Linked DNA regions of Xenopus tropicalis. The protein of the gene in region 1 interacts with the protein of each later gene in a biochemical or structural test. Links are inferred from orthologs where the notes say so. Each region holds a gene or a part of one and is shown on either strand. Other genes may lie near its edges.

The links.
Region 2: of the proteins of irak1 (region 1) and irak4, one has a biochemical effect on the other in vitro, tested with the Homo sapiens proteins (2 studies listed by BioGRID). The link is inferred for Xenopus tropicalis from reciprocal best matches to the Homo sapiens genes IRAK1 and IRAK4.

The regions. Positions count from the first base shown.
Region 1 is NC_030684.2:32,216,459-32,220,984, reverse strand, and holds the start of irak1 (interleukin-1 receptor-associated kinase 1), read left to right. Parts: upstream 1-1,535; 5' UTR 1,536-1,655; coding exon 1,656-1,767; intron 1,768-4,526.
Region 2 is NC_030679.2:64,402,603-64,406,420, reverse strand, and holds part of irak4 (interleukin-1 receptor-associated kinase 4), read left to right. Parts: intron 1-371; coding exon 372-481; intron 482-3,818.

The DNA.
Region 1 (4,526 bases):
GCCCTGTACCTATCCCTCTGCTCCCCCCCAGCAGCCCTGTACCTATCCCTCTGCTCCCCCCCAGCAGCCCTGTATGTATCCCTCTGCTCCCCCCCTGCAGCCCTGTATGTATCCCTCTGCTCCCCCCCCTGCAGCCCTGTATGTATCCCTCTGCTCTCCCCAGCAGCCCTGTACCTATCCCTCTGCTCCCCCCCAGCAGCCCTGTATGTAACCCTCTGCTCTCCCCAGCAGCCCTGTACCTATCCCTCTGCTCCCCCTCAGCAGCCCTGTATGTATCCCTCTGCTCCCCCCCCAGCAGCCCTGTACCTATCCCTCTGCTCGCCCCCATCGCAGCCCTGTACCTATCCCTATGCTCCCCCCCAGCAGCCCTGTATGTATCCCTCTGCTCCCCCCAGCAGCCCTGTACCTATCCCTCTGCTCCCCCTCAGCAGCCCTGTATGTATCCCTCTGCTCCCCCCCCAGCAGCCCTGTACCTATCCCTCTGCTCGCCACCCCATCGCAGCCCTGTACCTATCCCTCTGCTCGCCCCCCATCACAGCCCTGTACCTATCCCTCTGCTCGCCCCCCATCGCAGCCCTGTACCTATCCCTATGCTCCCCCCCAGCAGCCCTGTATGTATCCCTCTGCTCCCCCAGCAGCCCTGTACCTATCCCTCTGCTCCCCCCCCCTGCAGCCCTGTACCTATCCCTCTGCTCCCCCACAACAGCCCTGTATGTATCCCTCTCCTTCCCCCCAGCAGCCCTGTACATGTGCCTCTGCTCCCCCACAGCAGCCCTGTATGTACCCCTCTGCTCCCCCCAGCAGCCCTGTACCTATCCCTCTGCTACCCCGGCAGCCCTGTATGTATCCCTCTGCTCCCCCCCCCCCCCCAGCAGCCCTGTACCTATCCCTCTGCTCCCCCCCCTGCAGCCCTGTATGTATCCCTCTGCTCTCCCCAGCAGCCCTGTACCTATCCCTCTGCTCCCCCTCAGCAGCCCTGTATGTATCCCTCTGCTCCCCCCCAGCAGCCCTGTACCTATCTCTCTGCTCCCCCCCCTGCAGCCCTGTATGTATCCCTCTGCTCCCCCCCCAGCAGCCCTGTACCTATCCCTCTGCTCCCCCCCCTGCAGCCCTGTATGTATCCCTCTGCTCCCCCCCCCCCCAGCAGCCCTGTACCTATCCCTCTGCTCCCCCCCCTGCAGCCCTGTATGTATCCCTCTGCTCTCCCCAGCAGCCCTGTACCTATCCCTCTGCTCCCCCTCAGCAGCCCTGTATGTATCCCTCTGCTCCCCCCCCAGCAGCCCTGTACCTATCCCTCTGCTCCCCCCCCTGCAGCCCTGTATGTATCCCTCTGCTCCCCCCCTGCAGCCCTGTACCTATCCCTCTGCTCCCCCCCCTGCTGCCCTGTAGGTACTAATTCTACATTCAAATTTTCCCCCTCATCGCAGCATGTGAATTCCTAAACAGTGACACAAGCCCCTCCCCCAAATGATATCACTACAACCCACCCACCTCTAGGTCACATGGTGACCTCAGTGCATTCTGCCATGTCCCGACGTTGCTGAGGGGAAGTGGCTGATCAGCCGGAGTTGCTGCGGGACAGCGGGGCAGTGCGCTTGTGTCTGGGCGGAGGGGCCGGGCTTGCTCAATGGTTTCACATCGGACAGACAGTCACCATGTCCAGAGGCTCCTTCGAGGAGGAATTTCTGTACCGAGTCCCCTCTCAGGTCATGTACCGCTTCTTCCACATCATGGACTCCTTGGAGGAGACGGACTGGAAGAAGTTTGGTGAGTTCCGCAAATGAGAGGGAGTAACAATCTGGGTGCTACTGATGGGCGCTACTGATGGGCACCCTGAGCTGGGGGTCAGGTGGTGCAGTTGTAAGTGGGTGCCAGGGGGGATAATATGGCTCAGGAGTTATAAGCTGGTGTGGGTGCCAGTCAGTCCTGCCCATGAGTATGGGCTGTCACCGCTCTGTGCCAGTGGGTGGGTGGGGACCTCACTTGGAACAGAATGGTGCCCAGGTATGGGCTTTGGGTCAGTGCTACATGCTACAGAATGAATCTCAATTGTGTGTGGGTTGTGCTGTGAGATGTACAGGGCTGCTGGGGGAGCACAGGGTTATATACAGGGCTGCTGGGGGGAGCACAGGGTTATATACAGGGCTGCTGGGGGGAGCACAGGGTTATATACAGGGCTGCTGGGGGGAGCACAGGGTTATATACAGGGCTGCTGGGGGGAGCACAGGGTTATATACAGGGCTGCTGGGGGGAGCACAGGGTTATATACAGGGCTGCTGGGGGGAGCACAGGGTTATATACAGGGCTGCTGGGGGGAGCACAGGGTTATATACAGGGCTGCTGGGGGGAGCACAGGGTTATATACAGGGCTGCTGGGGGGAGCACAGGGTTATATACAGGGCTGCTGGGGGGAGCACAGGGTTATATACAGGGCTGCTGGGGGGAGCACAGGGTTATATACAGGGCTACTGGGGGGAGCACAGGGTTATATACAGGGCTGCTGGGGGGAGCACAGGGTTATATACAGGGCTACTGGGGGGGAGCACAGGGTTATATACAGGGCTGCCGGGGGGAGCACAGGGTTATATACAGGGCTACTGGGGGGAGCACAGCGTTATATACAGGGCTGCCGGGGGGAGCACAGCGTTATATACAGGGCTGCTGGGGGGGAGCACAGGGTTATATACAGGGCTGCCGGGGGGAGCACAGGGTTATATACAGGGCTACTGGGGGAGCACAGGGTTATATACAGGGCTGCCGGGGGGAGCACAGGGTTATATACAGGGCTGCCGGGGGGAGCACAGGGTTACTATATACAGGGCTACTGGGGGGAGCACAGGGTTATATACAGGGCTGCCGGGGGGAGCACAGGGTTACTATATACAGGGCTACTGGGGGGAGCACAGGGTTATATACAGGGCTGCCGGGGGGAGCACAGGGTTACTATATACAGGGCTACTGGGGGGAGCACAGGGTTACTATATACAGGGCTGCCGGGGGGAGCACAGGGTTATATACAGGGCTGCTGGGGGGGAGCACAGGGTTATATACAGGGCTGCTGGGGGGGAGCACAGGGTTATATACAGGGCTGCTGGGGGGGAGCACAGGGTTATATACAGGGCTGCTGGGGGGGGAGCACAGGGTTATGTACAGGGCTGCTGGGGGGGGGAGCACAGGGTTACTATATACAGGGCTGCCGGGGGGAGCACAGGGTTATATACAGGGCTGCTGGGGGGGGAGCACAGGGTTATGTACAGGGCTGCTGGGGGGGGAGCACAGGTTTACTATATACAGGGCTGCCGGGGGGAGCACAGGGTTATATACAGGGCTGCTGGGGGGGAGCACAGGGTTATATACAGGGCTGCTGGGGGGGGAGCACAGGGTTATATACAGGGCTGCTGGGGGGGGGAGCACAGGGTTACTATATACAGGGCTGCCGGGGGGAGCACAGGGTTATATACAGGGCTGCCGGGGGGAGCACAGGGTTATATACAGGGCTGCTGGGGGGGAGCACAGGCTTATATACAGGGCTGCTGGGGGGGAGCACAGGGTTATATACAAGGCTTCTTGTGGGGAGCACAGGGTTATATACAGGGCTGCTGGGGGGGAGCACAGGGTTATATACAGGGCTGCTGGGGGGAGCACAGGGTTATATACAGGGCTGCTGGGGGGAGCAGAGGGATAGGTGCAAGGCTGCTGGGGGGAGCAGAGGGGTAGGTGCAAGGCTGCTGGGGGGAGCAGAGGGATAGGTACAAGGCTGCTGGGGGGAGCAGAGGGGTAGGTACAGGGCTGCTGGGGGGAAGGAGAGGCATAGGTGCAAGGCTGCTGGGGGGAGCAGAGGGGTAGGTGCAAGGCTGCTGGGGGGAGCAGAGGGGTAGGTACAGGGCTGCTGGGGGGAGCAGAGGGATACATACAGGGCTGCTGGGGGGGGAGCAGAGGGGTAGGTACAGGGCTGCTGGGGGGAGCAGAGGGATAGGTACAAGGCTGCTGGGGGGAGCAGAGGGGTAGGTACAGGGCTGCTGGGGGGAGCAGAGGGGTAGGTACAGGGCTGCTGGGGGGAGCAGAGGGGTAGGTACAGGGCTGCTGGGGGGAGCAGAGGGGTAGGTGCAAGGCTGCTGGGGGGAGCAGAGGGGTAGGTACAGGGCTGCTGGGGGGAGCAGAGGGATACATACAGGGCTGCTGGGGGGGGAGCAGAGGGGTAGGTACAGGGCTGCTGGGGGGAGCAGAGGGATAGGTACAAGGCTGCTGGGGGGAGCAGAGGGGTAGGTACAGGGCTGCTGGGGGGAGCAGAGGGGTAGGTACAGGGCTGCTGGGGGGAGCAGAGGGATAGGTACAGGGCTGCTGGGGGGAGCAGAGGGATAGGTACAGGGCTGCTGGGGGGGGGGGGCGCAGGTTTATATACAGGTCACATCATTTGGTGTGAATATAAATAAAGAAAAATTAAAATAAAATTATAATGGGAGCCAGGCAGGTTCAAAACAGACCCTGGCATTTCAAGTACACAGAGACCCAGACCCCCCACTCTG
Region 2 (3,818 bases), on another chromosome or scaffold:
GGGTTTAAGTTGGAATATGTGCAGCTCAGGCCCATTTAAGTAAATAAGATATATGAGAGGGGACCATCTTGGAAAGAGTGGGTAGTGCCTTTGCAGGGGCACTTTAATATAGTTATATATATCGCTTTCCATGTCTTTTTAAACACTTATGATACCCAAAGTTTATATAATATGATAAACTGTTGGTTAATTGCCGTTTAATTTTTTTGCATTATTTTGCCCTTTATATGTATCAGTTTTCTTGTCCTTGAAATAAAAATAGAAAAATTCAGGTTATCCAGATTTGCATAATGGTCACAAACTGTAATTCCTGTAAATTGACTATAATTCAGTGGGGGGGTCTTTTTTATTATGTTGTTTTTATTTTTTAGAATGATACACCACCAGTATCATGGGTTTTGAGATGTAACATTGCATATGGAACTGCAAATGGTATCAATTATTTGCATGAAAACAGTCATGTGCACAGAGATATTAAAAGGTAATTGCTATACTACAAAACAATAATTATTTGCATTTTATTAACAATGAAGTTAATGGTGGATGAGGACATTTCCCAGGATGCCACAACCAATGTGACTTGTGCTCTGATGAACTTCAGTCAAACTTAACTGCTGCGCTGCAAGTTGGAGTTTTATCACCCCCCCCCCTTCCTTTCCTCCCCAGCAGCCGATCAGCAGAGCAATGGGAAGGTAGCAAGATAGCAGCTCCCTGACACCAGCATTGCTAAAGGTGGTAGATATCAGAATAGCACTCAAGAGTAAGAAATCCAAGTCCAGCTCATGATTCCTCCAGTTACATGGAGTAATGTGTAGCGCTGGCTCCTTCTGAAAGCTCAGACTCGGGCATAATGCACTGAGATGGCTGCCTTCACACCAATATAAACTAAAAATATACATTTGTTGGCTCAAGAATAAAATTTGAAATGGTAGAGTGAATTACTTGCTATGTAAACTGTATAATTTAGTAATGAAAAATACACCATAAAAATCATGACAGAATCCCTTTAAAATCTATGTGTTTCCTAAACCAGCAAGCTAACACCAACAGACAATATTATGTTTTGTAATGTAACAAACTCTGAAAGAGAAGGCCTTTGCACTTAAATTAATGATCCCAAACTACTGATCATGAAGGCTGATAAAGGGGTTGCTGTATTTATACTTGATAAGGGCTCTGGCACACGGGGAGATTAGTCGCCTGCGGCAAAACTCCCTGTTCGCGGGCGACTAATCTCCCCGAGTTGCCTTCCCCTGCCATCCCACCGGCATACATGTAAGTCACTGGCGGGATGGCACACGCGGCGGCGCGATTTTGCGCAAATCGTCGAAAAAGACTCGCGAGTCTTTTTCGCCGATCTCCCGAAATCGCCCAGCCGCGTCTGCCATCCCACCGGCGACTTACATTGTCGCCGATGGGATGGCAGGGGAAGGCAACTCGGGTAGATTAGTTGCCCGCGAACAGGGAGTTTTGCCGCGGGCGACTAATCTCCCCGTGTGCCAGAGCCCTAAATCCTTTTACCACACAGAGCTTTTGTCACAATTATCCAACATATTCTAAATTGAAACAGGATCCAACCTCCTTCTTTAAAGAACACCAGAATGCCAACTGGATTGACCAAACCATATTCTTCTTCCTCTTTATCTAATTCCACATGATTGTATTTACAAGACGTGCGTGCCATTTCTCTGCAATTTGTTTTGTATTGTATTGTATTGCATTGTATATCTTTATTTATAAAGCGCTACTTATGTACGCAGCGCTGTACAGTAGAATACATTAATACAAACAGGGTGTTAATAAGATAATAGATAAATACAAAGTATAATAATAAATACAGATAAATACAGCAGCAATAAGTTAAGAGTCGAGGACACAAGAGGAAGGAGGTCCCTGCCCCGTAGAGCTTACAATCTATATAATTTGGTTCTGCATTTACACCTTACCAAGAATACATACAGTATGTCTACCAGGTCTTCTTCAGGAAACCCTGTTATTTCAGTTATGGACTCACTATGGCAACCTGTGGCATGGTTTCTACATTACTACCTACAACTGGTTCTATCCATGAAATCCTACACTCAAGACACACATGCTTGCTATGAACTTTAGCTAATTTACCTGACTTTCCAGGCAATTATTTTTTAACCAGTTGTGAAAAACTTCTGTACCATTATCCCACATGAGAAGAGAATTGAGGCAGTCGGATTTGCTCTGCTTGCACATACACGGTCCCCCAACTGAGTTTGTGACAGAGCTTCTAAGAGCACTTTTATACCACAACTACTTCATAATTGAAAATACTAACTCTAACAAGCAGGGACTGTGATTGGTTTGAATGTTGCCCCAACATGTTCTAACCTGTTCATGAACCAGTATGAAAAGATTCAGATTTATTCTCAGTTTGGGCAACACATTTTGCTTTACAAAAGCTACACTCATGCCCTGTTTTGATACTTCAAGGGTTGACTTCTTATATGAACAGATCTATAGGACAGGAACTAGGCTGCAAACTACACTGTTTTGAAGAGAGACAGACAGAAATATTATTTTACATTTATTATTTTACACACATCTTACACACACTATCAAGTTGTGCCTTATTCACAATTTCAAAGGGAGATCAGGAACAACTCTGACGCCATAAAGGCAAGAGAATAAGTTCTGAAACTAAAGAACCATTTACTTGCAGAAAAACTGTTCTCAAAGACTACTCGATAACCAGGCCGACACAGCAACTTTTATTACACCTCATCAACAAATAACTAAACCCAATCAACAGGTCCTGATCACTACCTTCAATTGGCAGAATTACCTTGATAAAGTAGCCTGGGACTACTGGCATATCTTGAGATGTAATATCTACTAACATGAACCCTCCAGTGACAGTTTTCAGAAAGGGAGAGAAGCCTAAGGGATCTGTCAGTAGTAAGGGCACTCACGCCATTTAATTCCTCAGCACCTTTGTCCTGGCTACAAACACCACTTAAAAATAATTGCTACCCTCATGGTGGGTGCAGAACTTGAAATGGACTTCAGTCACCCCCACACGAGGAGGATAAACGCTATAAATTTTAAAAAATACTATATTTTCCTATTTTGCGTGCCATTATAAAGCACTAATTTGAAAGTTGCTATTTTCACTGAACCAAACCCACCTTTCTTTATAAATAGGTCAGTTTGTTTAGAGTCCCTATCTTTGAACAAATAAACTTTTTCCTTATCTAAGCTCCTGTCTTTGACCAGCTCATTATCAGGGACTTCACAGTGAACTGGTAATTAGTTTTATCAACTCCTCTAAAGTTCTTCAGGATCAGGAAGTGCTAAAGTGAAAAAGGCTTCATATTTTTGCTTAGTGCCAGAAATAACAGAAACCAAAGTTTTTAACATTTTTTCATTTAAATAATAGGCAAAAAGTATGTTTAGCACAAGCCCTATACATTCAGTTTATGTTAAAAAGGGGTGTATATTGTCCCTTAAAACACTTGTGGATGTGAGATACAGAAAGGAATAATTTATAAAAGCAATGGTATCTGTTATGGTAGCACTTACAGATGCTAGAATCCTACTGTATCAGTCTGCAGCATTGTCAGTAGGCATCTGTAAATTTATAACAGCCTTTTGACGCAAGCAGAAAGTCTGGACATAACAAACTGTCTAGTTTATTTGAAATGGTAGGTCATGTACAGTGAGGAACATAAGTATTTGAACACCCTGCGATTTTGCAAGTTCTCCCACTTAGAAATCATGGATGGGTCTGAAATTCATTCATTAGGTGCATTCCCACTGTGAGAGACAGCATTTAAAAAAAAATTTAA